7 linked regions of the Macaca mulatta genome follow. The protein of the gene in region 1 interacts with the protein of each later gene in a pairwise test. Links are inferred from orthologs where the notes say so. Each region holds a gene or a part of one and is shown on either strand. Other genes may lie near its edges.

Region 1 (3,500 bases):
GAAGGGGCCATGGTGGGGAGGGAAGGGGGGGTTGCTGGGACGGCTCCATGTCTGGAAGTGAGGGAAAGAGGACCACTGGGAGGGGCAGGGGAAGTGATGAGTAACTTCTGCTTTCTGAGAAGTTGGTAGTCAGGATATGGGGAGCCGGCTGGGGGCGGAGGGTGGTGTTGCAACACCCCCTCTGGCTCCAGTCTGACGTCCCTCCCATGGCCTTTGGTTTGCAGGCCCTGGCTGTATCTGCTGCTGCTGCTGCTTCTGTCCCTCCCTCAGCTCTGCCTGGATCAGGAGGTGAGCTTTGGACAAGTGAGCAGCTGCAGCCTGCCTGCCACCCTTTCATCTCCCCCTGGGCTCCCACCCCATCTCTCCAGGCCACGCCTCCTTTCCCCACAGCCCATCCACCTCCCCTGCCAACTCCACAGTTACTTGCCTCACAACACCAAGAGGCCGAGGTGTAGTTCTCCCTCTGCTGCTGAATGTGACCCTGGACTGGCAGCGACTCTGTGAGCCCCAGCGGTGGTCTAGATGGACGCTCTGGACAGTTCCCTCTAATCCTTCCAATTCTGTCTGACCTTTTTCTCTATATAGGTGTTGTCCGGACACTCTCTTCAGACACCTACAGAGGAGGGCCAGGGCCTCGAAGGTGTCTGGGGACCTTGGGTCCAGTGGGCCTCTTGCTCCCAGCCCTGCGGGGTGGGGGTGCAGCGCAGGAGCCGGACATGTCAGCTCCCTACAGTGCAGCTCCGCCCGAGTCTGCCCCTCCCTCCCCGGCCCCCAAGACATCCAGAAGCCCTCCTCCCCCGGGGCCAGGGTCCCAGACCCCAGACTTCTCCAGAAACCCTCCCCTTGTACAGGACACAGTCTCGGGGAAGGGGTGGCCCACTTCGAGGTCCTGCTTCCCACCTAGGGAGAGAGGAGACCCAGGAGATTCAAGCGGCCAGGAGGTGAGAGGCCTGGGTGGAAGAGGTGGGCCTTGGGCAAGGTGGGGGCTTAGCAAGAAGGAAAGGGGAGCACGGGTGACTTCAGAGGGCTTGTCTTTGGTGCCAGGAAGTAAACTGGGGAAACAGGGTCAGAGGTGGTCAGAGCTGTGCCCCCACATCTGAAACACCTTCTCAGGTCCCGGCTTCGAGACCCCATCAAGCCAGGAATGTTCGGTTATGGGAGAGTGCCCTTTGCATTGCCACTGCACCGGAACCGCAGGCACCCTCGGAGGCCACCCAGATCTGAGCTGTCCCTGATTTCTTCTAGAGGGGAAGAGCCCATTCCATCCCCTACTCCAAGAGCAGAGCCATTCTCCACAAACGGCAGCCCCAAGACTGAGCTCCCTCCCACAGAACTGTCTGTCCACACCCCATCCCCCCAAGCAGAACCTCTAAGCCCTGAAACTGCTCAGACAGAGGTGGCTCCCAGAACCAGGCCTGCCCCTCCACAGCACCACCCCAGAGCCCAGGCCGCTGACACAGAGGCCCCCTCACCCACGCACTCCTTAGGAGAAGGTGGCTTCTTCCGTGCATCCCCTCAGCCACGAAGGCCAAGTTCCCAGGGTTGGGCCAGTCCCCAGGTAGCAGGGAGACGCCCTGATCCTTTCCCTTCAGTCCCTCGGGGCCGAGGCCAGCAGGGCCAGGGGCCCTGGGGAATGGGGGGGACTCCTCACGGGCACCGCCTGGAGCCTGACCCTCAGCACCCGGACGGCTGGCTGCCCCTGCTGAGCAACGGCCCCCATGCCAGCTCCCTCTGGAGCCTCTTTGCTCCCAGTAGCCCTATTCCAAGATGTTCTGGGGAGAGTGAGCAGCTAAGAGCCTGCAGCCAAGCGGTGAGTCTCCTCGGGTCTCCCCTCCCAACCCCAACCTCCAGTGTGGCCTCCCCGCCCTGAAGCTGGGCCCTCAGCTTCTTCTCGGCCCCTGAGGGAGAAGGGCCTTGGCATCTGACCACCTCAGGGCAGGGGTCTTGGAGCTCTTCCGCTGACCTGATCCTCCCGCCTGCTCCCCAGGTTCAGCCCTGACCTTACCCTCATTTTGCTCCCCAGCTCTGACTCCTTTGTACCCCTCACCGCAGCCCTGCCCCCCCGAGCAGCCAGACCCCCGGGCCCTGCAGTGCGCGGCCTTTAACTCCCAGGAATTCATGGGCCAGCTGTACCAGTGGGAGCCCTTCACCGAAGGTGAGGTTTCTTGCCCACCCCTGGGCAGTGATGACTTGGAATTGGGGATGAAGGGGAGAGGAGACACCTGCTTACTCCCAGCCCTGAATGACTTCCAGCCCCTCTGCTTCCCCTGCGCCGTGCCTTCTTTCTTCTCCCTGGGGCTGGGTCAGGAGACAGCACAGGTGGCGGCGAGTGGTCTGCAGAGGGGTCGGGGTGGGAGGAGGAGGTGCGGGAGACACGCTTTGTCCGGACTCCTCTGGGAAGACCATCACTGGGGGTCGGGTGGCTGTGACACAAGAGGGCCACAGTGGGAGAGATCCTGTCCAGCCGTGACAGCTGGGTGGGGGTGTGCCACGTATCCTGGGCACTACCGTATCGGTTGCTCCCAAGTTACCATCCGCTTCATTTTAGGCCTGTGTTGACACCAAGACAAGCACTCAAGAGCTCTGAACACACAGAATCATGGGCCTCAGGGATTGCTCCTCTCTCGGTTCAGAGTCCCCTTGATGGTCTCAGTGACCTCGACTGACCTGACCACCTTCCTTTTTTTTTTTTTTTTCTGAGACAGTCTCGCTCTGTCACCCAGGCTGGAGTGCAGATCTCGGCTCACTGCAACCTCTGCCTCCTGGGTTCAAGCAATTCTCCTGCCTCAGCCTCCCAAGTAGCTGGGACTACAGGCATGTGCCACCATGCCCGGTTAATTTTTGTATTTGTAGTAGAGATGGGGTTTCACCATATTGGCCAGGCTGGTCTTGAACTCCTGACCTAATGATCTACCGGCCTCGGCCTCCTAAAGTGCTGGGATTATAGGCATGAGCCACTGTGCCGGCCCTGACCACCTTCTCAGCTTGTGCTGTTGTCACATTTCCTTCATCCACAGTGACCTGGGCAACCTCAAGGTGCCCCCCCGGGGCCTCTCTCAGCTAACCTCCCACCAGGGAGCCCACTAACCACCCTTCTACTCTGTCCCTTAGTCCAGGGCTCCCAGCGCTGTGAACTGAACTGCCGGCCCCGTGGCTTCCGCTTCTATGTCCGTCACACCGAAAAGGTCCAGGATGGGACCCTATGTCAGCCTGGAGCCCCTGACATCTGTGTGGCTGGACGCTGTCTGGTGAGGGAAGACGGGGTGCACACACACACACGCATATGTGCACAGATACACACCCCTGTACACATACACATGTACACACACATATGCATGAACATATGCACACATGCAAGCATGTACACACACGTATGCAGACACACATGCATATGCACACATATGGACACAGACACATGTATGCATACACATGTGCACTCGTGCATGAACACATGCACATATGCATATGCACACAGACACACACGGACACACATGCACACA
Region 2 (4,170 bases), on another chromosome or scaffold:
AAAATTAACCAGGCATAGTGGCATATGCCAGTAATCCCAGATACTTAGGAGGCTGAGGTAGGAGGATTGTTTGAGTCCAGGAGTTCGAGGCTGCAGTGAGCCGTATTCAAACCACTGCATTCCAGCCTGGGCAACAGAGCAAAACCTTGTCTCAAAAGATAAATAAATATCCATCTGGGGGTGTAATTTTAACAGTTTTACCTATAGAGGTGTGCAATGGAGAAAAAAATTTAGAGTCGTTGAACACAATGCTATTTTGCCCCTCAGAGAGTATCTGGCAGTCTCTGGAGACATTTTTTGTAGTCACAACAGGGAGAGTGAGGAGCCACTGGCATCTAGCAGGCAGTGGCCAGGGATGCTGTTAAATGTCCCCCAACACACAGGACAGTCCCCCACACAAAGAACCAGGCAGCCCAAAGTGTCAAGAGTGCTGGGCTTGAGAAGCCCTTGCCCGAAAGCCCCAGACTTAGTCTTGTTTTGGGGGCTCTGCACGGCTGCCTCAACTCCCCACTCTATTCGTCCCCGAGCTAAGACCTCCAATTTCAGTGACTGTACAAAGCATCCCCTCCTCCAATGAAGTAGCCATCTCTGTGTCCCCAGGCTGGGCCAGAGCCCCACCACCTAACGGCTCCCTGATGCGCCCTGTACTGGGTTAGAACTGTCCAGCCCACGGGGTTCTTAACCATTGCAGATTCCCTGGATCCCTGAGACAGCCGGATTCTACCGGGCAACGAGAGACCAAGAATCTGTGTTTTTCTCAAGCACCGCTCCCCGCAACCACACACACACTGCCTGCCCCTATCAAGGGCACACAGCAGGTGGCCCAGTGACTAGTTGAGTGCCTACTGCAAGCCAGGCGCTATTACGCGATCCACTCGGGAATCTTGGCACATACTCCACTCCATGGTGTAGAGACCAGGATCCTCCCCATTTCACAGAGGGGTAAACTGAGGTTCAGAGAGGTGACCCTAGCTAGGACAGAGACTCAGGGCAGGAAAAGCGCCCAGGTCCTCATGAGCGCCAGATTCCCGGGGAAGGAGGGAGGACAGAGAGGAGGGTGATGAACTGGGGGAGCGCGCGCTGGGTGGGGGGGCGCGGGGCCTCGCCGCGGCCTTCCGATGCGGCCCCGCCCCCACGAGGGACGTGAAGACGCGGACCCCGCGCAGCGTGGGGACATGTGACCGACTGCAGAGGCCGCGCCGCCTCCCCCGCCCGAGGTCTGCGCGCTCCGCCGCAGGGTGCAGACCCGGGGCGCCCGCCTGGGTTTGGGGCGCAAGAGCAGAGGCGGAGCCAGGGCGGAGCCAGCGCGCCCGGTCCCCCCTGAATCGAAAGCGAAACAGGGGCTGGGGAGGAAGGGCGGAGCCGGCCCCGAGGCACCGCCCCCTGCCCTGCGCGGCTGCTGGACCGACGGGCGCGCCCAGGTAGGGGGGCGGCTGAACCGCGCAGTGCGGACCCTCGCGGGGACCTGCGCCGCCGCCACCATGTCTCAGGAAGGTGTGGAGGTAAGAGATGGCTACGGCTGGGCCGGGGGCAGACGCGACAGACTCCGAGGAGCGGCCGAGAAGCGCGGAGGGGGCTTCGCAGTTCCTGGGGACCCCCATCCTAGAACCCCAGATCTTTACCCCTGCCTGGCGCTCACCCCCCTTGAAAAGGAAAGTGACTCCCACGTTTCCCCAGAGCGAAATGAGGCCTCTCCGAGGAAAAGCGGGGGCTGCAGGGTCAAAGGTCAGAGGCCAGAGATAACCTGGCCGCCCCCCCACCTTAGGCTGGGACGCTCGCCTCAGTCCGCGCCCTCCCCCAGCGCCATGTGGGGACTTTGGCTTTTTCCAGGAAATGCCGTAGAGGGATGAAAGGGGGGGCGGCGGAGGCCAAAACCAAGGGTCAAGTTCAGGCCGGGAGAACGGTGCCTAGAGATGGGGGAGGGACGATCGCGCTTCCCCTTCGCCCACCGGAACCCCCCTGTCCCCATCCCAGCTGGAGAAGAGCGTCCGGCGCCTCCGGGAGAAGTTTCATGGGAAGGTATCCTCCAAGAAGGCGGGGGCTCTGATGAGGAAATTCGGCAGCGACCACACGGGAGTTGGGCGCTCCATCGTGTACGGTGAGGCTGCTGGGGTCCCGGGCCTGGTGCGGAGACCGCGCGTGGGAGCGCCGAGGGGGCGTGGTCTAGGGAGAGGCGTTGAGATCACCTCCCCCGGAGGTCCCAGCCTCGGGGAGGCTCTGCATCGCGGCTCTGGGTGGCCTGGAACTCCCACAGACCCTTCAAGGGCCCTTCTCTTATACGCACTCTCCCCCGCAGGGGTAAAGCAAAAAGATGGCCAAGAACTAAGTAACGATCTGGATGCCCAGGTAACCTGTCCCCTCCCCTCGCAAAGGACCGGGTCACGGGAGGGACAGCAAGAGGGGGGACCCGACCGGTTCATGGTGACTGACACTTCTCTGAAACAGGAGGGACCAGGCATTGTCGGTCCGTAACTCATCACCCAATATCACTTTTTCACCTCTCTATCGTTTGTCCGGCCAGGGAGCCTGCAAACAGTAGGTGCTCATTATGCGCTGATTGTATTCAAAGGCGGACAGCCATGAAACTAGGCAATGAAAGGAGTCAGGATTATGGCCATCGTGGGGGGGCAGAGATCAGAGAAGACTTCCTGGAGGAGGAGGTACCAAGTCTTAAAGGATGGAGAGGAGTGAGCCCTGGGAGGGGAAAGGGAAAGAAAGGCAGGGGCCTTAGGGTGTGGGAGGGAATGGCATGAGCAAAGGCTGGGAGGTGGGGAAGGGTTGTTAGTGTCAGTCTCTAGAAAGGCTGGGATGAGCAGGGGATTGGGGAGGAGAGAGAGGGAGGGGAAGGGAACCCTTGTGTTGAATGAATGAATGAATGAATGAATGAATGAATGAATGAATGAATGGCTTTGAAGCACAGGTGCATCATGGCTACTTTGCTTCTTCGAAAGCTTTGGTGATGGGAACACTGTGGATTTCGCCTGCCTGAAAGGCTCAGTGTAGGGCTGTTACAGTATAATAGGCCTGGCGCCATGGCTCACGCCTGCGATCCCAACACTTTGGGAGGCTGAGGCGGGCGGATCACCTGAGGTCGGGAGATTAAGACCATCCTGGCTAACATGGTGAAACCCCATCTCTACTAAAAATACGAAACAACAACAACAACAACAATTAGCCAGGCGTAGTGGCAGGCGCCTGTAGTCCCAGCTACTCAGGAGGCTGAGGCAGGAGAATGGCGTAAACCCGGGAGGCAGAGCTTGCAGTGAGCCAAGATCGCGCCACTGCACTCCAGCCTGGGCAACAGAGCAAGACTCCGTCTCAAAAACAAAACAAAAAACAAAAAAACCCAGAGGATAGTAAAATATGTATCATAGTCTACATTTATACATATAAAAGTATGATAAAAATGATAGCAGAGGGGCCGGGTGCGGTGGCTCACGCCTGTAATCCCAGCACTTTGGGAGGTTGAGGCGGGCAGATCACTTGAGGTCAGGAGCTCGAGATTAGCCTGGCCAACATAGTGAAACCCCGTCTCTACTAAAAATACAAAAAATTAACTGGGCGTGGTGGTGCATGCTTGTAATCCCAGCTACTTGGGAGGCTGAGGCAGAAGAATCACTTGAACCTGGGAGGCGGAGGTTGCAGTCAGCCGAGATCACGCCATTGCACTCCAGCCTGGGCGACAAGAGTGAAACTCCATCTCAAAAATATAATAATAACAATAGCAGAGGGTAGCATTCATTGAGTATTTCCCATATGGCAAGACTCCAGGAATTGATTTATTTCATCGCCACAGTGACCCCAGGAGACAGGTCCTGTTATTTATCCCCATTTCACAGACAAACTGAGGATGAAGTCACTTGCTAGGTTCACGAAGCAAGCAGGTGGCAGCTGCGATTTGAACCCTGGCCACCTGGAGTCAGAGTCTGGGCTCTAACATGCCTGTCAGTGGGAACCCAGGAGGCAGGGAGTGGCTTGTCCAAGTCCCCACAGCTGGAAGTGATAGAGCTGGGATTCGAACCCACATCTCTCAGTCCAGATCCCCACCACTTAGCCAAGCACAACATGGCCTCAAAGGGGCGATATTGTCACAACACCAACAAGCATGTGGCATTTGCAGGCAGGAAGTGAGTACGGGGGTCAGGCTGGCCTCACAGGCAAGCCCTCCCC
Region 3 (3,002 bases), on another chromosome or scaffold:
GGGTGTCCACTGTGCCGCACGAGACAGAGTAGAGGCCGGGCGCGGGGCTCACGCCTGTAATCCCAGCACTTTGGGAGGCTGAGGTGGGCGGATCACCTGAGGTCAGGAGTTTGAGACCAGCCTGGCCAACATGGCAAAACCCCATCTCTACTAAAATTACAAAAATTAACCAGGCGTGGTAGTGAGCGCCTGTAGTCCCAGCTACTTGGGAGGCTGAGGCAGGAGAATTGCTCGAATCTGGGAGGCGGAGGTTGCAGTGAATCGAGATCGCACCACTGTACCCCAGCCTGGCGACAGAGTGAGACTGTCTCAAAAAAAAAAAAAAAAAGAATGAAACTCAAATAAAATCCATTTCCATTGTTTAAAAAAAAAACCCACTCAATAATCTTGCCCAAACTGTGGACAGTGGGAAACAAAGAGAAGGAGGGCTGGCCTGAGCAGCTGCCTCGGGGGGCTGGAACGGCCCTGTCCCCAGGAGAGTGGGAGCCCACAGCAGCCTCCCCAGGGCTGGCCCTGACTGAGCCCGTCCCACTGAGGGCAGATGTGTCCTGGAAACGAACAGGGGCCCCAGGACCCTGCTCAGAGTCACTTTCTCCGAGAGGCTCTCCTTTTGTGCCCTCCCCATCTCCCCTCTGAGCCCCACACCTGTGGGAAGAATTACCTGTTTGCAAGGCGGTCTCCAGTCCAGGCCCACAAGCACCCATGGCTGTGCCCAGCCTGGCTCTCAGCCTTCAGATAAACAGCCCATCCTCAGAAAGCCCCCCACCCCCTCCCAACCCCAGATGACGCCCCCACCCCCACTGCCAACTGTGTGAGCACCAGGCCCCAAAACCCACTGAGGGGCCCTGCGAGGCCCGGGGCTTCGTGTCCAGGAGAGGGACCGAGGGCTCAGCCGATCACGTTTGAGTCCTGGTTTCAACCCAGTTCTAACCACAGAAAACCATGTCACGGAAACATAAACACCAGAGGGACGTGCAACGCCAGGGGTGGCGGTTTAGGCGCGGTCAGGTGTCGTGGCAGCTTAAAAAGAGGCCTTATCTTTATTAGCGGCTGACAGTGATATTTACAGATGAAACCGTCTGAGACTCGCTTCCAGACAACACAGGAACATGACGACTGAACACAATCCTGACTCCAGGCTGGATCCCGTGCCAGGAATAATACTGCTTTGAAAGTTACGATTGTGTCAATTAATGAAATTGGAATATAGTCTACGTATTAGATAAAAGTATTGTTATCTAAATTCAATTTCCTGAAATCTGTATTTGTGCTATGGTTATATAAAAGAGTATCTTTGATCTTAGGAAATATACATTGAAATATTAAGAGGTAGGCCGGGCGCGGTGGCTCACGCCTGTAATCCCAGCACTTTGGGAGGCCGAGGCGGGCGGATCACAAGTTCAGGAGATGGAGACCATCCTGGCTAACATGGTAAAACCCCGTCTCTACTAACAATACAAAAACAAAATTAGCCAGGCTCGGGAGGCCGAGGCAGGAGAATGGTGTGAACCTGGGAGGCGGAGCGTGCAGTGAGCTGCACTCCACCTGGGCAACACAGCGAGACTCCGTCAAAAATAAAAAAATAAAAAAAATTGAAAAAGAAAACATACAACAACTACACAGACACGAGCAGAAGTGCAACATGTGAGCAGCTGGTGGCCTCACGGGCTGCAGGACCTCGGCGCTCTTGCAACTTTTTGGTGAGTTTAAAATTATTTCAGGCCGGGTGTGGTGGCTCCCACCTGTAATCCCAGCACTTTGGGAGGCTGAGGCCGGTGGATCAGTCGGGGGTCAGGGGTTTGAGACCAGTCTGGGCAACAAGGCGAAACCCTGTCTCTACTAAAAATACAAAAATTAGCTGGGCGAGATGGCGGGCAGCTGTAATCCCAGCTACTCGGGAGGCTGAGGCAGGAGAATCGGGGAGGCGGAGGTGCAGTAAACGGAGATCGCACCATTGCACTCCAGCCTGGGTGACAGAGCGGGACTCTGTCTCAAAAAAAAAGAAGAAAAAAAGAGGCCGGGCGCGGTGGCTCAAGCCTGTAATCCCAGCACTTTGGGAGGTCGAGACGGGCGGATCACGAGGTCAGGAGATCGAGACCATCCTGGCTAACACGGTGAAACCCCGTCTCTACTAAAAAATACAAAAAACTAGCCGGGCGAGGTGGCGGGCGCCTGTAGTCCCAGCTACTCAGGAGGCTGAGGCAGGAGAATGGCGTGAACCCGGGAGGCGGAGCTTGCAGTGAGCTGAGATCCGGCCACTGCACTCCAGCCTGGGCGACAGAGCGAGACTCCGTCTCAAAAAATAAAAAAAAAGAAAAAAAAAAAAAGAAAAAAAAAAAAAGGAACAGGCTGGTTGTGGCCCCAGCAACACATACAGGGCCACAGAAACGGTGGCAGAGTAGAGCCCAGCACGGTCCTCGGCACCCTATCATTCACGCAAAGTAAAGACACACAAACAAAATGACAACGCACGTACAGCCAAACAGTAGACACGTGTGCGGCCCTGCGGTGCCCAGAGGAAGAGGAGGGGCAGCCTCGCTGGACCTGTGGCTGTGACCCTGTGAGGCGATGGACAGCCCTGTGCCCGAGACACCCGCAGCTTTGATGCCGACGCAGTCAACCAGCTGGGCCCCCGCCCTCCTGAGTTGTTCGCCTCGGGGCCTCTGTGCTGGCTGTTCCCTCTGCCTGGCTGCCTCCCTAATGTCCAGGCGTTGGTGCACACATAGCCGACCCCACACCACGCATGCACCACGCATGCACCACGCATGCACCACGCCCCCCGGGCACCTACAGAGGCTTCCCCAGTGCGCTCCTCGGCCGCCGCCACGCGTGCCACCTTGGAGATGATGGGCGCCACGTTGGTGGGGCCGTAGAGCTGGACCCTGGGCAGACAGTTCTGGTAGGCCTCCACCACGCCCTGGATGCCTGTAGGGGGCAGGGGGTGAGCCCGGCCCCCTTGCACCCCCTCCCCAGGCCTGCCTCGAGCTCCTACCTTCACACTC
Region 4 (4,244 bases), on another chromosome or scaffold:
ATCATATTCTGTTACCGTATTTTATTCGGACTCCAAAGGAAAGTGTCGCTTGGGGGAGGGGGAAGCACTTTGATGAGCGGCGGCCGCGGCCCCTTTTCACTCAGCGGGCTCCCCCTTCCTTCTCCTCCTCCTCACCCAGCGCCCTGTCTGCTCTCCGCGCCCGACCCCGCAGCCTGGGCAGCACGGGTGCTCCCCACTGCGATGCGCCTGGAGGCTCCTTGACTCGCCCTCACACTTACTCCTGTGCAAACTTTTTACCCCGCCTGTCGGGGTGGGGGAGTGGGGGAGATTAGAAACAAGGGGTAGAAATTCCTCGAAAGGGAATAAAGTGCCTAATTTTCAGAAGGAGGTGCCATTTAAAAGATTCTCCTAGCTCAGAGTTGGAACGAAAACTCTTTTTTGCACTTTTAAAAGTCCACCCAGGCAGACGTGTTTGGGAAGTTTGTTCCACTGGGAAATGGGCTTCGCCCGTACGAACAATCCGGGGAAATCGCCTCAAGGAGGCTCCTTACGCAGCATGTGGAAAAAAGTTGAGGGCAGGGGTCTGTGGCCACATTTTCCATCAAAAAGTCCCTGTTAGAGGCAGACTAGGAAAGAGAGAGAAAGAATGAAAAAGAAACTTTCCTATCAAAATGTTTGAATTAAGAAGTAGGGTGTACATGTGAGGGCAAGAGGACGCTGGGCTCCAACGTTTCAGAAGAAGCGCTTAAGGCTTGCAAACACCCTTGGTGGGGACCGGGAACCCCGGGAGATGCCGATGAGCAGGTAAGTGGCTGTGCCCTCCCAGTGGGTGCTCTTCCCAGGCGCGAGAGTCCCGAGGCGCCGAGGAGAGATCTGCACGCCCGGAGCTGCTCCCGCGCTCTGCAAAGTAGCCTGCGCCGGCACGAGCCGCCCGCGGCGTCGGTCTCAGGTGGCGGTGCAGAGGAAGAAAACGCTGGGGCCCGCGGCGCCAGGAGAGGGGCCGAGGCCCGGGCTCCTCCAGCCCGCCGCCCCCGGGTCCTGGCGCCCACACCCGGGCGGCTGAGCCCGGTGGCGCGCAGGAGAGCGAAGGAACCGGTTCTCCAGCACCTCTCCTCGTCTCTGCCACTCCCTCCGGAGCGCCGAGAGCGCGAGAGAAGGGCGGGGGCGCCCAGGGAAGGCCTGGAGACCCGCGGCCCCCTCCGCGGCCAGGACTCGGGCTCTCCGCTCGCCTTCCTCGCCTAGCTCTGAGCCGCTTTTGCCAGCCGAGTCCCGGAGTTAGCGCGCGACCGGGGCGGGGCGGGCGGGAGGGGAGGGCGGGGTGTGGGGGGCGGGGGAGGGCGGGGGCGCGCGGAGGTAACCCCCGGCTCGCGCTGCCATTGCCCGGCTCCCTGTCACTCAGCCCGCGCGGGGCCCCCGATTGGCGGCCTAGCCCCGTTACGCACTCGCCTCGCGTTCACATACCCGGGGAGGGCAGTAGAAAGGTGATCAATCTTCATCAGGCTACATTTCCAATCACCTAAACAACCGAGCAAGACAAGCCACTCCGACAAGGTAAATCGCTTGATTTATTTAGTTTGCAAAGTGACTCTGCAGGACTTCCCAGTCCCCACTGCCTCCACGTTGCACCGGCAGTGCCGCGGTAACGCCGAGCCACCTCCCAACTCTGCCCTCGAATTCCCCCCCTTGCGGCCCCTCGGCGCGATTCCGGGCGAGGCAATGTCCTGCCTGAGAACGTGTGGGGCTTAGCAAACAAAGTGTCTGTGCAATAAAGTGAAACCCAGAGGGACACGCACAAAGCCACTGAAAAAAAAAGATAGAGGTGGGAGGAAGGAAGTTGGGAAAAGAAAGAAACCCGGGGTCCTAGACCAGCCGCCGGGGTAATTCCTGTGCCGCTCTGTTTTGCAGGTTGGCTGCCCGGCGGGTCTCTGTGAGAGATCCAGGTAGATGGTGAACGTCCCCGGCAGCTGAGGGCAGGTAAGGAGAAAGCCGCGGGACCATCCCGGACTCCGGGAGCGCGTTGGTTACCCTTACCTCCCCCTCCTCAAATGGATCCCCACTTCCCCGGTCACCAGCAGGTGGGCGGGGCTGGGGGAGCGGCCTAGCTCCCCTCTTGGTGAGCCGAGGACCCCGGGGCGCTGTCGCGGCCCGCCGCTCCCTCCCCCGCCTCCTCCGAAGTAACCAAGCTGAAGTGCTAAGTTTGGAGAAAGTCTTTGAAAACTCACGCTGCAGCTTCGCAAAGCCGTCGCAGCTTTGAGTCCCATTTTCCTTCGGCCCTAGAGCCCTGGCTGCTTCTCTTCTCGTCCCCTTCCTACAAGCTGGACTCCCTCAGCCCAGGTCTTGGATCCCAGAAGACCGGGGTGGGAACGGGGCAGGGGGGAGCTTCTTTAGCTCTAACTTCTCTCCCTGAACGTCCTAGCCCGAGTCCCTGGCCTGCTTCACAGCGATCCCGCTAAGCGGGGTGTAGCAATGGCCCCCCAGAGCCCCAGGCCCAGTTTCCAGCGCCCCTCCCTGACCCCTGAGAGTGCCGCCCCGGGTTCCTGGCAGCGGCGGGGGCGAGGCTTCCACCTCCCAGCTCGGGTCTGCGTGGGCTATGCCGCTGAGGCCTACTTCTCTGTTCTCGACAGTGTCCTGGGGCCGCGGGTTCAGCTACAAGGATGACAGCACGGGACTTGCTGCCCTCCGGCTTTGCAAATCCCCGAGACCCTTTGAGGTGCTAGGTCAGTCACCCTTCACCCCCTGCTGGGACCCTGTGGTCCGCAGCACAGACTGGACAGAGAAGGCCGGGTGCGCGCTGGCAACGAAGGACGCTGGCCGCAGCTGAGACGCTCCCGACCTCAGGCCGCGTCTTGGGGTCGCCCCCCTCTACAGTGGCCTCTTCGGCGTCCCCTGGCCCTCTGCGAGGCCTGGGCCGGTTACTGCGGTTGAGGTGTGGTGGGATTTCGCGTCAGCGATCTTTCAGTGGCTGGGCACAGAGAGGTCAGCTGGAATGGTGATTGCGGGCTCTGGGGCAGGGGCGCAGCCCTGGAGACCTTTGAAGGAACCAAGTGTCCTAAGTGGACAAGAGGTTGAGGTGCGGTTAGCCCTCCACATTGCCTCACCTTGGCCCTTTGTAGTCTCTACCTTTTCAAAAACACGTGAAACAAAATGAAACAACCCCTCATGCTCCGGGAGGCCTGCCGTCCCGGCACCAAGTGAACGTTTGCTTGTGCAACATGAAGCTGGCTTCTGCCGGATTCAGAATTTTGCCTGGACTTGGGAGCTTGCACACTCCGCGGTTCTTGCTCTGACCTCCCCAGCCTGGCCTGGCTTTGACTTCTCCTTACTCCTATGGACTCCCTACCAGTGTCTTTGGCTCATTCCAACGCTGGAGCCAGACGACCCAGAAAACTTTACTTTTCAAAGCAACTGTGGTTTCTGGGCTAAGGCCTTGTGGATTCCAGTTGACCACCCTGCGCAGTTCTGTAACCTGCCTTCCCTGTCTATCCTGGGGCAAGACTTGGCAGCCAAGTGGCTCCGATTGATGGTTTCCGTGTGTCTCGTGTCTTCATAGGCCAGGCCCCCAGACGCATCAGACCCTGAAGGACTGCGGTGGGAGCCCTGCACCGCTTCTGGCCCCAGGTCCCCTGGATCCGTCGGGGCGCCTCCACCCAGCTGTTAGCATGATGTCTTACCTCAAACAACCCCCATACGGCATGAACGGGCTGGGCCTGGCTGGGCCCGCCATGGACCTCCTGCACCCATCCGTGGGCTATCCGGGTGAGCACCAGCCCTCCCGACCCTGCTTCAGCCTCTCCAATGTTGGGGCCCCCCAGACTGTTGGGTTTGAGTGCAAGCTTTGTTGCCGAGCAGGCCCAGGGAGTCAGCTATTGCAATACAGGGCCCACTGCCTGTTTACAATACAGGGCCCACTGCTGGCGCACGGGGCAGAGTCGTGGGCATGTGAGGTGGCCAGGGCTGAGAAAACGCGCAATGTGCGCCTTCCTGGCCGGGTCACCGGCAACCTTTCTCCTGTTGTGGTCCCACCACCAGCGCAGAGCTCATTTACCTGCGGATTCGCTACCCAGGGGCGGCTAGTGTTTTTCCTTTTCCCCCAACATGGAATGAGTAATCTGGACACTCGTTAGGCCCTGACAGAAAGAGCCAAACTTTCCTTATGCGAAGCGGCAGGCTGGACTGAAGGAGTATTCTTCCTTCCTAATTAAATTGTCCTCTAAATTGATGTCCTGCATCCATTTTTGCACTGCTGTAGAGGACGACCTGAGCCAAACCCGGGGTTCTTTAGC
Region 5 (3,978 bases), on another chromosome or scaffold:
TGCCTTAGCTCACCTGTAAAATGGGGATAATTATAATACCTGTCCTACTTATGGTACCCGGGTTGTTGTGAGAAACAAGGGAATTCACGTGGTTGCAAATGCTTTGTAAGGTGTGAGGGGCTGCGAGGTTGGCACTGGTCGTCTAGAATCGGGCTGGATTTAGCCTATGCCTTCTCTTTGAATCCTACTCAAAGGGAGAACTTCTGAAAGGAAATTCAGCAGGGGAATGGTGACAGTGATGGTGACGGCCGGATGCTGGAGACGCCAGGCTCCTCTCGCTGCAGACCAGGCGCCCGGATCCTGCAGTCTGGCCCTGGCTCTGCCGCTTCCCAGCCCGTGAGCTTGGGCCAGTTACCGAAGAGGCTCTGGAAGTGACAGCCAAGGGCCCTTTCAGCTCTGACGCCGTGTCTAAATCAGGCTCATCACTTGGCTCTAGCTGTGATTCACCTTTCGCCTTAGGAGCAACTCTCCCTACAGCTTCTCAGACGCACGAAGCAGGGGTCCCGCGAAGGGTGGGGGCTGTGTATTTCATGAGAGTGTGCACCATAAGGAAGTTATTCTCCTGGAGGAGGTGAGATGGGGGGCGGTGAAGAAGGGGTGACAAGTGAGTGCTCTGAGAAGCCAGGATGCAGGGAACACTGAAATGAGGTCATGACTGTCGCAAGCAAAAAGGAGCTGGACATCCTCAGTGGGGGAGGGAGGAGCGTCCTGCATTTCTGTTTGCAAAGCCTCTTCCCACATCCTTCAGCATCCCCCTCCCCACCTCTCCCCTAACCCCCATCCCTACACCTTTCAAACCCCATCAGGCCCTCCCCGCAGAACAGCCCACGCCCGCGCCTCCTCCGTGGTCCTGTCTGAAACCATAAGGATTGTTTCCAAGCTGACTCACACCACTAATGTCAGGGAGCCGTGTCACACGGCGCTGGGCTCTGCAAGCTGTTGCTTGCGCAGTCGCCCCCGCCGCTGCCGCTCCCCGGCGGGTGCACCAGGGTCCGCGCGGGCGGGGCGGGGTTTGGGCGGGGCCGGGGTGGGGCCTGCCCCCTCGACGCGCCGGCCCCGCCCCTCGCTCTGTCCCTCCCCAGCGGACCGCAATGATTTAGAAGTTCAGGAATCCCACGTGACGTCACCGGGGGGGTGATGTAATGCACTCTAAATAGAATGTATTGTAATCTTTGCTCAGTCCAACGTGGTCCCTTCACCCGGGCTCCGCTCTTGCCTTCTCCACACTTGTTTGGTAAGTTCCTAAAAATACGGCTCGGCCACTTCTGGGGCTTTTGCATTTAGCCACTTTTGTTGCACTTGCCGCGGGAGCCATCTCGGGAGCGTACTTGTTTGCAGGGGTTGGTTCTCGGCAGCAGCCGCGAGGTTACTTGGTCCAGTGGGCAGGTCACAGGGCAAGGAGTAGGGAAGATGCGATGCATTTTTTTCTGGAGGGTGATCTGTGTTTGTAAACATTTTGGCGGACCAGAGGGAAGTCCGGCCCCGAGTGCTGGTAGACTGTGGAATTCGGCTGTGTCCTGAGGCCACCCCAGAGACCCCGCGCCGCGTGAGTGCCGGAGCGCTCGGTGGCCGCCGCGCCGCGCGCCTGGAGGGATGCTAACGTGGAGCCGGCGCCGAGTCCGCCCGGCGTGCGTGCGTGTGTGGGAGCGCGCGAGTCCCCTGACGCGGGGACCAGTTATGAATCGGGGGTGTGTGTTTGCCTCCAGAGACCTGGCAAGGTGCGGAGTCCTCCAGAAGTGCGGTCAAGCGGCAGCGGAGACGGCGAGCCAGGAACCTCCCCCCGCGTCCCCAGCTTCCCAGCGTGGCGGCGGAATCCCCGGAGAAAGTTTGCAAACTTCCAGCGGGCGCGGCGAGGACTCCGGGTCACCTAGGGGGCGGGTGGGCGCGCGCGCAGGGGGCTCGCTCTCCCCGGTGCGGAGCTGCCGCTGCCACTTCTCCCGTGGGGCTGCTGGCTGCAGTGGGTTGGCGCGCGCCCGGGGAGGGGAGGTCGCCCTTGGAGGGCGCTTGGCTTTCGCTCCAGGCACTCCGGGCTGGAGAGCGGCGAGGCTCCGTCCGCTCCCGTCCACTCCTCCGGCCGCCTCCTGCCTCCGCTGCTTTCTCGCTGGCATCGTTACCTCTTCCCGGCCGCTGCCCCAAATGACAGCTCCGGCTCGAGCCTTGGCGGCGCCCAGGCAATTCCCAGGACCCGGCGGCGGAGTCTCCCCCTGCGGCAGATTCTCGGCAGAACCACTTGAACTTTTCGTGAAGTTCTTAGAGGGGCAAGATGCGAAGGAAGGAACCAAGGAGATGTTTTCTCTCAGCAGCTGCATCCACTTCTTTGCCATAGAGTTGTTTTTAAGGGACGTCTAGTAGATAAAGCCCCAGACCTTGTCCACACTCTCATCCCCGTCCCCAACTTTCCCTGGACCGGTGCCGCCCCCACTTGATGCTTGTTCAAGGCCGGGGTCTGGAGCGGGCTACTTGTATGTTTCGTTGTCAGTCTGCTTCTGATGTGTTTGATTTTTATTTTTCCCTCCTTCTCTGACATGTGTCAAGGAATAAAGGCTGGATACAGGTCCATTACGTCATTCTGCAGGCCAGTAAGTGTTTGATTAAAGGCTTGAGCTCCTCAAGGGTTCAGGAGCTTAGAATGCTGACAAAGCAACTCTGCTGTGCATCCCCCTACCCTCCTCACAACACACTCGTGCAATCGCCCCCTCCCTAGGCATCTTTATTGCCCTCTCTTCCCAACCCCTCCCTCTCCACCACTCCCCCGTCTACACCGTTATCACTCTAGCCCCGGCCCCGCCTTTTACAGCTTTCCCTGGAGCGAGCACAGTCCCTGGAGTGTGGGTAAAAGCTTCTGGGGTCTGAGGGGACCACTGTACCTGATCAGCGCGCAATCTGCCCTTTTGTATTTTTTAAGAAAGGCACCAGCAAGCCTTCTCCTCTAGAGCGAAAATGCTTAGTCCTGATAGAAAAGGCAAATCAGGAAATGTTTCCAAGCGTTATGATAATACTCTGTCCTCGTGGTGGTGACTTAGGAAGGCAATACACCCACTGCAAACAAAGTACTTCACTTTACGTATTGCCTGCCCTTTAGCAGAAGAGGGAAGACGAAGAAGCCAGGATGCTGACAAAATCAGGTTTAGCTGAAAGGATCAAGACTAAACGTTTCATTTCCAAAGTAAGGGAATATGAGTTGTTGAACCTAAACTTCCATACAATAAATTGGTGTGTGCGTTAGTTTCTAGCTTTTAACCTTAAGTTTCTATGTTGAAAGAGGAAGTTCAATACGTAAGTCATTGAATTGAGTCAGAACCTCCGTATCTGGCAGTTGAAATAAAGACCCTGTGTATGACTTGTTGCAAGGGATCAAAGTAAAAAGAACTCTTGGCGGGGGGGTGGGGGAGGGAAATGTGCAGAAATTAAATTATAAAAGTATTAACAGAGTTTTGGATAGAGCGGGAGAGGGAATTGGAGTGGTTCCTGATTTGGAGTTGGTGAAAACTAAATAAAGAAATATTTATATTGCCAATATGAGGAATTTCTTGAAGAACACATGTTTTCTTATAATTAGATCTACTTTCTTCAAAGTGAAAGCCATGCTGTAGGGTAGACATTTGTGAAACTCCTGTCTGGGGTCTAATTGACATACTTCCCCAAGTTTGTGGCAGGATTTAGTATTTATTCACATCTAGAGATGAAATAGTGTAACCTCCACACAATATGTGTGCATCGAAAATGTTGAACTTCTTGTTTGTGATGCATAGACTTAAAGGAAAAAAAAAAATGGCCCAGTCATGGGCACTGGAAAGTGTGATTAATGATCAGTGATTTAGTGATCAGTGATTAGTGGTTTTATTCAAACTGTTACCTCTGACCAGAAGCACACATCAGAGGATTAACAGGCTCTTTAGATAAATGCTCATTAGTGGAAGGGGAAAAGCAAAGATAATAGGCATGCACCCAGGGACAACTTTCGAAGAAAATCATTCC
Region 6 (4,135 bases), on another chromosome or scaffold:
CAGCAGGCAAGTGGGCCAGGCCCAGGGATTCCTGACAGCTTGCTGGCCCCAGAGTCCGGATTCTTTTTGTTTGTTGGCTGGCGCTGGGCCTCTGGATTGGAGATGCCCAGGGCGCAGGGGGCCCGCGGGGGTCCGTAGCAGGGCCTCGGCCCCTCCCTTTGCAGGGGCTCGTCTGGCCCCTACTGGTCTCTCCTTCTCCTCATTTATCTCTCCCTTTCTACTTCTTGGCTCTGGGTCCAGTCCTATCTCCCTGTTTCGGTTTGTCTTTTCCTAGCCCTCTGCGCTCTCTCTGTCTCTCTTGGCCCTGCTTGTCTCACTGTCTCTGGTTGGGGGTCTGTCTCTTTCGCTTCCACTTTTGCTCTATTTCCTGGCTACTGTCTTTCCTTTCTCCTTGTCTGTCTCTTCTCCTCCCCTCAGCCTGCATCTCTGTCTCTCCCTTTCTCTCCTGCTCCCTCCCTCCCTCCTCTCCATCACCTTCCAATGCCAGGTGGGGCTGCCGTTCCTTCCACCTTCCCAGTGACCCACCAGTGTGACTGCCTTGAGAGGAAAGTCCTAAACTGTCCCATCTTCACCAACCTGCCCACAAATCATTGGTTCAAATTGCTCTGGAGAAGTTTGGGAGCTCCCAGGGTAGCGGCTTTCTAACAGCTCTGCCTAGCTCAGGCCTGTCCCCAACCACAGCGTGGAGGGCAGCCACAGACAACCTCTCTGCACCTTCTGATGCCTCCGTGCCCCATCCACAGAGGCCTGGCTCGGGGAGACTGGGGACTCTGGGACATCCCTAACATGGCATGCAGTGGCCGTGTGGGAGGCCCTGACTGCCCCTCTGGAGCCCTGGGCCCAGGGACTCCAGACCAGTGCCTCTCTGGATTGGGATGGGGATGTCAGGCCAGCAGGATCATGGTGCCTGCCTCCAGGGAGGGCAACGTCCACCCACTGAGTCCAGCCCGCCCACCCCGCCCACCCCGCCCACTCTGGAGCACCTGGCTGTGTCCTCAGGAACCCCCTGAGCTTTGCACACAGGGCGGAGACACCTGGATTTCTCTGGTCCCGTGAGTGGGGCCAGCTTGGAAGAATTTCCCAAAGCCTATTAGAGCGACGGCTGCCTCCTGCCTGCCTCCTTGGGCTGGGCAGGGCTGAGGGCGGAGGGAGAGAGAGAGGGAGGGGGAGAGGAGGAAGGAAAAAGTTGGCAGGCGGACAGCAGAGCCGTGTCTGCATCCATCCAGAGGAGGTCCGTGCGGTGTGGGGCGGGCCAGGAGTGAAGAGAGGCCTTCCTCCCTTTGTGCTCCCCCCGCCCCCCGGCCCTATAAATAGGCCCAGCCCAGGCTGTGGCTCAGCTCTCAGAGGGAGTTGAGCACCCGGCAGCGGTCTCAGGCCAAGCCCCCTGCCAGCATGGCCAGCGAGTTCAAGAAGAAGCTCTTCTGGAGGGCAGTGGTGGCCGAGTTCCTGGCCACGACCCTCTTTGTCTTCATCAGCATTGGCTCTGCCCTGGGCTTCAAATACCCGGTGGGGAACAACCAGACGGTGGTCCAGGACAATGTGAAGGTGTCGCTGGCCTTCGGACTGAGCATCGCCACGCTGGCACAGAGCGTGGGTCACATCAGTGGCGCCCACCTCAACCCGGCTGTCACGCTGGGGCTGCTGCTCAGCTGCCAGATCAGCATCTTCCGTGCCCTCATGTACATCATCGCCCAGTGCGTGGGGGCCATCGTCGCCGCCGCCATCCTCTCGGGCATCACCTCCTCCCTGCCTGGGAACTCGCTCGGCCGCAATGATGTGAGTGGGGTGTCCCCGAGCTTGGGGGGTTCTAGAATGATGCTGAAAGGCACCAGTTCCATCCTCTGCCCATCGTGCAGATGCGGACACTGAGGAATGGAGAGGACAAGAGGTTGCTGGAGGTCACATAGAGAGCCGGGGGGGAGAGCTGGGGCTGGAACTCAGTTATGCATGCCTCCCAGAGCCTGTTTTCTGCCAGGCACTGTGGGAAGCTGAGATCAAGAGAATAATGGTCTTGCCAATGTCCCCTGCAGGGCATCTATTATGGGGAATAAGCTTGGCCAGCAGCTCCTCGCCCCTTGGCTGTAGCTTTTTGGCCCTTCTCAGTCCTGCCTGTGCCACCAACTCCCTCCTCCCCCAGCCCTGCACCCTGGGGAAACTTCGCCCGCTTTCCCCAGCCACCCTGAACCAGATGCCCAGCCTGTCTGCAGCTGGTTCTGCAGGTGTGTGAACAGGACTCCCTCAGGGAGCCCCCCATGTTCACACAGGTTTCCAAACAAACCACCTCTAGGAATCCAGAGAAAGGCCGTCTTCCACTCTTCCGCCCCTGGGAATTAGACAAAGATAAGGCAGTGAAAACTCTTTCTGGGGCTGTTTGAAGGCAGTTTTCCTGGATTACAGTATGGGCTGGGGGGCAAGTGCTGGGCTCCATGGTCTCCAGGCACTGAGAGGTGTGGCGTGTGTGTGTGTGTGGGTGGGTGTGCGCGCATGTGCGTGTGTGCATGTACGTGTGCGTGTGTGTGTGTGAAGGTGTGTATGTGTGCATGCGTCTGCCAGCATGAGTCTCTGTGCTTGTGTAAACTGTGTGCATGTTTGTGCTGCTGTGTTAGGGTGTGTGGGGGTGAGTTTGCAACCACACGTGCCCATGGCTCCCGGCTTGAATGGGGTCTGGACTGGGGTCACTAATGACAAGCAGATGCTGGTGACTGGGTGGCAGCTGTGGAAAAGAATGTCTCCTGGGCTGCTTAGCATGGCAAAGTGGCCGCTGGTGGCAGCCGCCTGCTGTCCCAGACCTGGCCTTTCCCAGCTCCTCAGACAAGTGCAAACTCAGGCTGGGCTTGGGCAACAGCAGGGGGAGATTTGGCCTGAGAGACTGAGGAAGGCTTGGAGGATGTCTGAGGGCCCAAGGGACAGGTGAGCAGGCTTTGGGGTGCCCTCACAGGGAGGGAGAGGTTAAGGAGCAGAGAGGAGGACTTGTCTGGAGAGATGAGGCTGGCAGGGCTGTAGGCAGGGCAGGTGGGTGTGGGGACTGTGTGGGTCATCTCGGAGGGCGCCTCAGAGATGGCAGTAGTGATTACAGCAGCTGTCCTCTCGCTTCTCAGTCAAAGTTCAGATCCTGCAGCTGACAGCCTGGGGGAGGCTAGGTGAAGGTCTGGTGCAGAGGGCAGCTGGCTCAGCCCAGCCACGGGGGGCTTAGCGCTTTTGTGTCACGGTGACACCTCACCCAGCCTCCTCTGCAGCCAACCTCTGCTTGGCCCAAGATTGAAGATTACCTCCATGGGCTGGAGTTTAGACTTTAGCCAGTTTAGACGTGGCTGCGGGGTATGTACGGGACAGAGTTCAGGCAGGCCATGTCAAGCTCTGCCCCCAGGCCTCAGTTTCCAGTGGGGGCAGAGCTTGTGGCCTCGGGGAGTTCCACTGGGTAGGGTCAAGCTCACACTGAAGCTTGGCTGGGTATGCTGGGCTGGGGAAGCGTCCCTGTAGGGGAGGGGATGTGATTCCTAGACTTTCTGACCCCATATCGTCCCTCCCATCTCACAGGGCAGAACCTCTGCACATGCTGGCAGAGGCTTCACACTCTAGTATGTGCATCCGAGCCAGAGGCGGGAGGGCGGGCCCCTTCTGTGCCATCTGGATCAGAGGCCACACCCGACTCCTGTGCCCCATTCCCTCCCTGGCCTTCATTTTTTATAGTCACCCCAATACTTGGGCTGGGCGTGTTGCAAATGGGAGAGAAAGAGGAGCAGCCTAGTGTGGGAGCCGGCCCTGGGCTGGGAGGCAGACACCTGGGTTCAAGACCTGTCTGCTGCTAACTTATTGAGCTTTATTGGAGCTGTGGACCCTGACCCTCGAGAGGGGACTTAAGTGTTGTGACCTCACAGCCACACCCAGACAGCCAGCTCACTTCATTGCTTTGAGCTTATCACGCATCCCACAAAGGCTGGCTAAGAGCAGCCCAGCAGGGGCAGTGCTGAACATAAGGGTGCTAAGCATGATGGTGGGGGCTCAGGCACTGCCCTGTCCCGACAGTGGAAGGGTGGGGGTCAGAAGCTCAACTCTGGGCCTAGAAATAGAGAAGGTACCCCCCTAAAGGCTCCCGTCAGACACTGGCCCTGGAACTGGAGGGGTCTCAGGCGTG
Region 7 (4,270 bases), on another chromosome or scaffold:
GCCATTCATTTTCTAATTGTTTAAATGAATACAAGTTTACGGTTGAAAATTTAGAAATAAATTATAAAATCCACCTGTACACTCACCACATGGAAATAAAAACTAGTGACATTTTATTTTACAAACCCAAAATTTAAATGAATGCTGTTCAGGTAGCTTGTGTGAATTCTTGTCACTTAACATTGTATCGTTGGGGCTGGGCGCGGTGGCTCAAGCCTGTAATCCCAGCACTTTGGGAGGCCGAAACGGGTGGATCACGAGGTCAGTAGATCAAGACCATCCTGGCTAACACAGTGAAACCCCGTCTGTACGAAAAAATACAAAAAACTAGCTGGGCGAGGTGGTGGGCGCCTGTAGTCCCAGCTACTCGGAAGGCTGAAGCAGGAGAATGGCATGAACCCTGGAGGCGGAGCTTGCGTGAGCTGAGATCCGGCCACTGCACTCCAGCCTGGGCCACAGAGCAAGACTCCGTCTCAAAAAAAAAAAACAAAAAAACAAAACATTGTATGGTAGTAGTTCCCCAGGTGATATATAGAAACCGTGTCACATTTCATTATACCAATGTATCACTACACATTCAGTAACTTTCTCACTGTTGAAACTTTGGGTTGTTTTCAGTTATTTTTAAATTTTGTATTTATAATTTTTGGTTAAAATCCTTATATAGATGTGTGTCTACATGTTTGGTTATTTCTTTGGGGCAGTCTATGAAAAAGAATTAATGTGTCAAAGATAAAAACGTTCTCCCCTCTCTGGTATGTGAAGCTTGGTTTGATTTGAGGGGCTTGGCACCTTTAAGGACTTACTTTCGCCAGACATACATCTACCTGCTTTACAGTGACCCTGTGAAATCGATGCCAAGATTATGCCCATTTTACAGATGTGCAAACTGAGACATAGGGAGGCCAGTGTTACACAGTAAGCAGGAGAGCCTGTACGATTCCAGCCACGCTGAGTCTGGAGTGGTTGGTCCCAGTCAGGGCACATTTGCTCCCCAGGGACGTTGCTAATATCTGGAGACATTTTTGATGGTCTCAACTGGAGAGGGTATGTAGTGGGCAGACGCCAGGGATGCTGCCAAGCACCCTACAATGCACAGGACGGCCCCCACAACCAGGGATCACCTGGTTAAACATGACAAGGGTGCCGGGGGTGAGAGACCCTGGTCTGGAACCCCATTTTTCACCAGAGTCCCCCAGTACCTCTCCTATTTTTTTTTACATTAGTTCTATGGGATGCAGGGCAAAGGTAACAGCAGGAAACTCGTCTGAGCAGATCCCATTCCCTCCCCTCTGACCTGCTCTCGGTGGTTGTGAGATGAGAGTTGTATTGGGAGAGGATTTGAGACATTATTTTCATTTTAAAGCTTATAGGATATTTATGACAGTCTTTCCTTACCTGCCTTCCCCCACAAAACCAACTTCTTCAGATACACAATCTAAGTAAGAAAAGTCTGCTTACTTTGAAAACACAGCTTCAAGATAATCTCCCAATTTTTTTTTTTTTTTTTTTTTGGAGACAGGGTCTCACTCTGCTGCCCAGGCTGGAGTGCAGTGGTGTGATCACTGCTCACTGCATTCTTGATTTTCTGGGTTCAAGTAATCCTTCCACCTCAGCACCCCCCATCCACCCAGTAGCTGGGACTACAGGTGTGCACCATCACGCCCAGCTAATTTTTGACTTTTTTAGAGACAGGATCTCACTATGTTGCCCACGCTGGTCTCAAACTCTTGGGCTCAAACAAGACACTTGCCTTAGCCTCCCAAAGTGCTGGGATTACAGGCATGAGCCACTGCGCCTGGCCTAGTCACCCTAATATTTATCACAAACTCCCTCACCCTCTTCCTAAACAACTTCACATAAACCTACAATCTAGAAAACTCGGTAGGTTGGCTTTGCAGTTTCCGGACAACTCACCCAGCACCCTTTTTCTTGTGAAATGACACCCCTAAACCACTCCTATACTGAATTTCTAGAGAAACCCCTGTGGCGGCTGATGTAATCACCTGCTTTCTTTTTTTTTTTTTTTTTTGCTCTGTCGTCCAGGCTAGAGAGCAGTGGCGCGATCTCGGCTCACTGCAAGCTCCGCCATTCTCCTGCCTCAGCCTCCCGAGTAGCTGGGACTACAGGCGCCCGCCACCACGCCTGGTTAATTTTTTGTATTTTTAGTAGAGACAGGATTTCACCGTGTTAGCCAGGATGGTCTCGATCTCCTGACCTCGTGATCCGCCCGCCTCGGCCTCCCAAAGTGCTGGGATTACAGGCGTGAGCCACCGCGCCCAGCTGAAATCACCTGCTTTCTAAGTGCCAGATCACCTCTGCTTAAGCCCTTGGATCCCCAGCAGTGGAGGGGCAAATGCAGCTTGGCTAGTCACATCACATGCTTTATCACGTTTTGATTTAACCCTCAAATGGCTGTAAGGGACAGAAACCTACCGGGTTTAACATAGGAGAAATTGATCCTCAGACTCTCCCCACGCTCTGGCTGGCATTTGAACCCCGCTGCTTGGACAGCAGCTCTTTTTCCTAAGTCAGGTGCCTAAAGCTAACCCCTTGGGGGCTTTGTCCTTCAGGGACTAGAGCAGCAGCCCCCTTCTCCCCCAACTTCTGCCTGCCATCTCACCTTCTCTCCACGGAGCTCTCCTTTGTGGCCTCGGGTCCCGAGGGAGAGGAAGATCCTGAACCTCTGTCCTTGACTCTCCGAGGCCCCCGGTCCTGCAGGAGGCTGTGAGCGTCTGGGCTGGAGAAAGACAGATAGGAAGAGTAGGGTGGCTTTTGAACGGGAATTGATTGCAAAACTGGTTTCTGTTAAGTGCTGCAGGAGAAAAAAAAGCCAAACTCTCGGGCTCTTCCAGGAAATCATGGGCTCCAGCTGTGCACTTTCATTTTCCTTTTTGCCTGTTTCTCTAACTGCATGCACAACGAGATGAAAGAGCAGAATCAAAGTCAGAAGGCCTGAGTCTCTCGTCTCTGTCCTGGCTGTGTTATAGGATGGACCTATATGGGGTATGAAAATAGCTCCTGTGGCTTAGAGCTATGGTGAGGAGCCCATGAGCAAGCGATGGGGCACCTGATGAATAGTGGATTCACAGTAGCGATCATCACTGATTGTTCTGAAACTGCTTCCCTCCACAGCATCTTGATGTGGATAACAGCCCTATGAGGTGCACGGCCGGCATTTAAGGGCTAATAACTCTGAAATGCAGAATCCTCTGAAAATGGAAACTTTTTTATTTTATTTTTTATTTTATTTTTGAGATGAAGTCTTGCTCTGTTGCCCAGGCTGGAGTGCAATGGCACGATCTCGGCTCACTGCAACCTCCGCCTCCTGGGTTCAAGCTATTCCCCTGTCTCAGCCTCCCCAGTAGCTGAGATTACCTGCGCCTGCCACCACGCCTGGCTAATTTTTGTATTTTTAGTAGAGATGGGGTTTTATGTTGGCCAGGCTGGTCTCAAACTCCTGACCTCAAGTGATCCACCCACCTCAGCCTCCCAAAGTGCTGGGATTATAGGTGTGAGCCACTGCACCCGGCCTGAAAACGAAAACTTAAAAAAAATAATAATTTATTCATTTAGTGACAAAACCTGAGCTGATCTGGCATGAATTCACTTATGGTTTTTATGTCTCTTCCTTAATTTGAATATTCACTGTCACTGTAAAAATATTAATATGTTTGACTGAGGAGGGCTGCTGGGGGTGGGTGGGTTACACAGTACGTGATACCTGCACCCCATTACCTTTCTAAAAATCACTTGGGGACTCTGACATGCATCTGGCCTCAAGGATTGGAGATACAGGATGTGATACTCTGTCTCCCACTTTAAGGAAGAGGAAACTCAGGCTTCTAGAAGTTGTGGGTTGTTAGTGATTACACAGCTAAGAACCAGTCCTAGGCGCTGTGTCTGCAAGAATGAGCCCACAGTGTGGTTACGGGCTGAGATCTGTGTCTCTCTAACATTTCTGTCACGTTGTGATCAGAAGTCACGTGGTTTGCAGAAATCCCCAGTCACCACCCCTAGCTGAGGCCACACTGGGTGCTGTTGCTTTGCAGAAGGCGTGGCCCACCTAGCCAGTCCTGCCTTTGCGACGATGGAGGCCACCTCCTGTCACTGGGCCCTACGAGCAGGAATGAGGGGTTAAGCGCTGCTGAGTTGGGTCCTGTAGGGGCCTTTCCAACCCTGGCATCCCAGATTCCACAAGCCAGCCCTGCTGTGGCCTCCCACACTTGGAGAACACTCTAAACACAGCGTGACCTTGAAGCGGACTTGG

The links.
Region 2: the proteins of ADAMTSL4 (region 1) and SHFL interact in binary tests that used the Homo sapiens proteins (3 or more experiments, as listed by UniProt). The two-hybrid records come from large-scale screens. The link is inferred for Macaca mulatta from reciprocal best matches to the Homo sapiens genes ADAMTSL4 and SHFL.
Region 3: the proteins of ADAMTSL4 (region 1) and CPNE7 interact in binary tests that used the Homo sapiens proteins (3 or more experiments, as listed by UniProt). The two-hybrid records come from large-scale screens. The link is inferred for Macaca mulatta from reciprocal best matches to the Homo sapiens genes ADAMTSL4 and CPNE7.
Region 4: the proteins of ADAMTSL4 (region 1) and OTX1 interact in binary tests that used the Homo sapiens proteins (3 or more experiments, as listed by UniProt). The two-hybrid records come from large-scale screens. The link is inferred for Macaca mulatta from reciprocal best matches to the Homo sapiens genes ADAMTSL4 and OTX1.
Region 5: the proteins of ADAMTSL4 (region 1) and CREB5 interact in binary tests that used the Homo sapiens proteins (3 or more experiments, as listed by UniProt). The two-hybrid records come from large-scale screens. The link is inferred for Macaca mulatta from reciprocal best matches to the Homo sapiens genes ADAMTSL4 and CREB5.
Region 6: the proteins of ADAMTSL4 (region 1) and AQP1 interact in a two-hybrid assay, tested with the Homo sapiens proteins (2 studies listed by BioGRID and IntAct). The link is inferred for Macaca mulatta from reciprocal best matches to the Homo sapiens genes ADAMTSL4 and AQP1.
Region 7: the proteins of ADAMTSL4 (region 1) and APOL6 interact in binary tests that used the Homo sapiens proteins (3 or more experiments, as listed by UniProt). The two-hybrid records come from large-scale screens. The link is inferred for Macaca mulatta from reciprocal best matches to the Homo sapiens genes ADAMTSL4 and APOL6.

What each region holds. Positions count from the first base shown.
Region 1 is NC_133406.1:116,571,132-116,574,631, reverse strand, and holds part of ADAMTSL4 (ADAMTS-like protein 4), read left to right. Parts: intron 1-224; coding exon 225-288; intron 289-426; exon of another isoform or gene 427-585; coding exon 586-941; intron 942-1,113; coding exon 1,114-1,810; intron 1,811-2,052; coding exon 2,053-2,155; intron 2,156-2,222; exon of another isoform or gene 2,223-2,334; intron 2,335-3,111; coding exon 3,112-3,248; intron 3,249-3,500. UniProt on the Homo sapiens protein: Positive regulation of apoptosis. May facilitate FBN1 microfibril biogenesis.
Region 2 is NC_133424.1:10,795,578-10,799,747, forward strand, and holds the start of SHFL (shiftless antiviral inhibitor of ribosomal frameshifting protein), read left to right. Parts: upstream 1-1,370; 5' UTR 1,371-1,481; coding exon 1,482-1,502; intron 1,503-1,974; coding exon 1,975-2,098; intron 2,099-2,296; coding exon 2,297-2,346; intron 2,347-2,521; coding exon of another isoform or gene 2,522-2,660; intron 2,661-4,170.
Region 3 is NC_133425.1:85,041,575-85,044,576, reverse strand, and holds part of CPNE7 (copine-7), read right to left. Parts: coding exon 2,993-3,002; coding exon of another isoform or gene 2,926-2,992; coding exon 2,792-2,925; coding exon of another isoform or gene 2,433-2,791; exon of another isoform or gene 2,309-2,432; intron 1-2,308. UniProt on the Homo sapiens protein: Calcium-dependent phospholipid-binding protein that may play a role in calcium-mediated intracellular processes.
Region 4 is NC_133418.1:61,712,516-61,716,759, reverse strand, and holds the start of OTX1 (homeobox protein OTX1), read left to right. Parts: upstream 1-1,444; 5' UTR 1,445-1,512; intron 1,513-1,866; 5' UTR 1,867-1,935; intron 1,936-3,511; 5' UTR 3,512-3,620; coding exon 3,621-3,717; intron 3,718-4,244. UniProt on the Homo sapiens protein: Probably plays a role in the development of the brain and the sense organs. Can bind to the BCD target sequence (BTS): 5'-TCTAATCCC-3'.
Region 5 is NC_133408.1:99,935,438-99,939,415, reverse strand, and holds the start of CREB5 (cyclic AMP-responsive element-binding protein 5), read left to right. Parts: upstream 1-1,178; 5' UTR 1,179-1,234; intron 1,235-3,978. UniProt on the Homo sapiens protein: Binds to the cAMP response element and activates transcription.
Region 6 is NC_133408.1:97,464,355-97,468,489, reverse strand, and holds the start of AQP1 (aquaporin-1), read left to right. Parts: upstream 1-1,335; 5' UTR 1,336-1,392; coding exon 1,393-1,776; intron 1,777-4,135. UniProt on the Homo sapiens protein: Forms a water channel that facilitates the transport of water across cell membranes, playing a crucial role in water homeostasis in various tissues.
Region 7 is NC_133415.1:15,895,198-15,899,467, forward strand, and holds the start of APOL6 (apolipoprotein L6), read right to left. Parts: upstream 2,801-4,270; 5' UTR 2,624-2,800; intron 2,067-2,623; exon of another isoform or gene 1,781-2,066; intron 1-1,780. UniProt on the Homo sapiens protein: May affect the movement of lipids in the cytoplasm or allow the binding of lipids to organelles.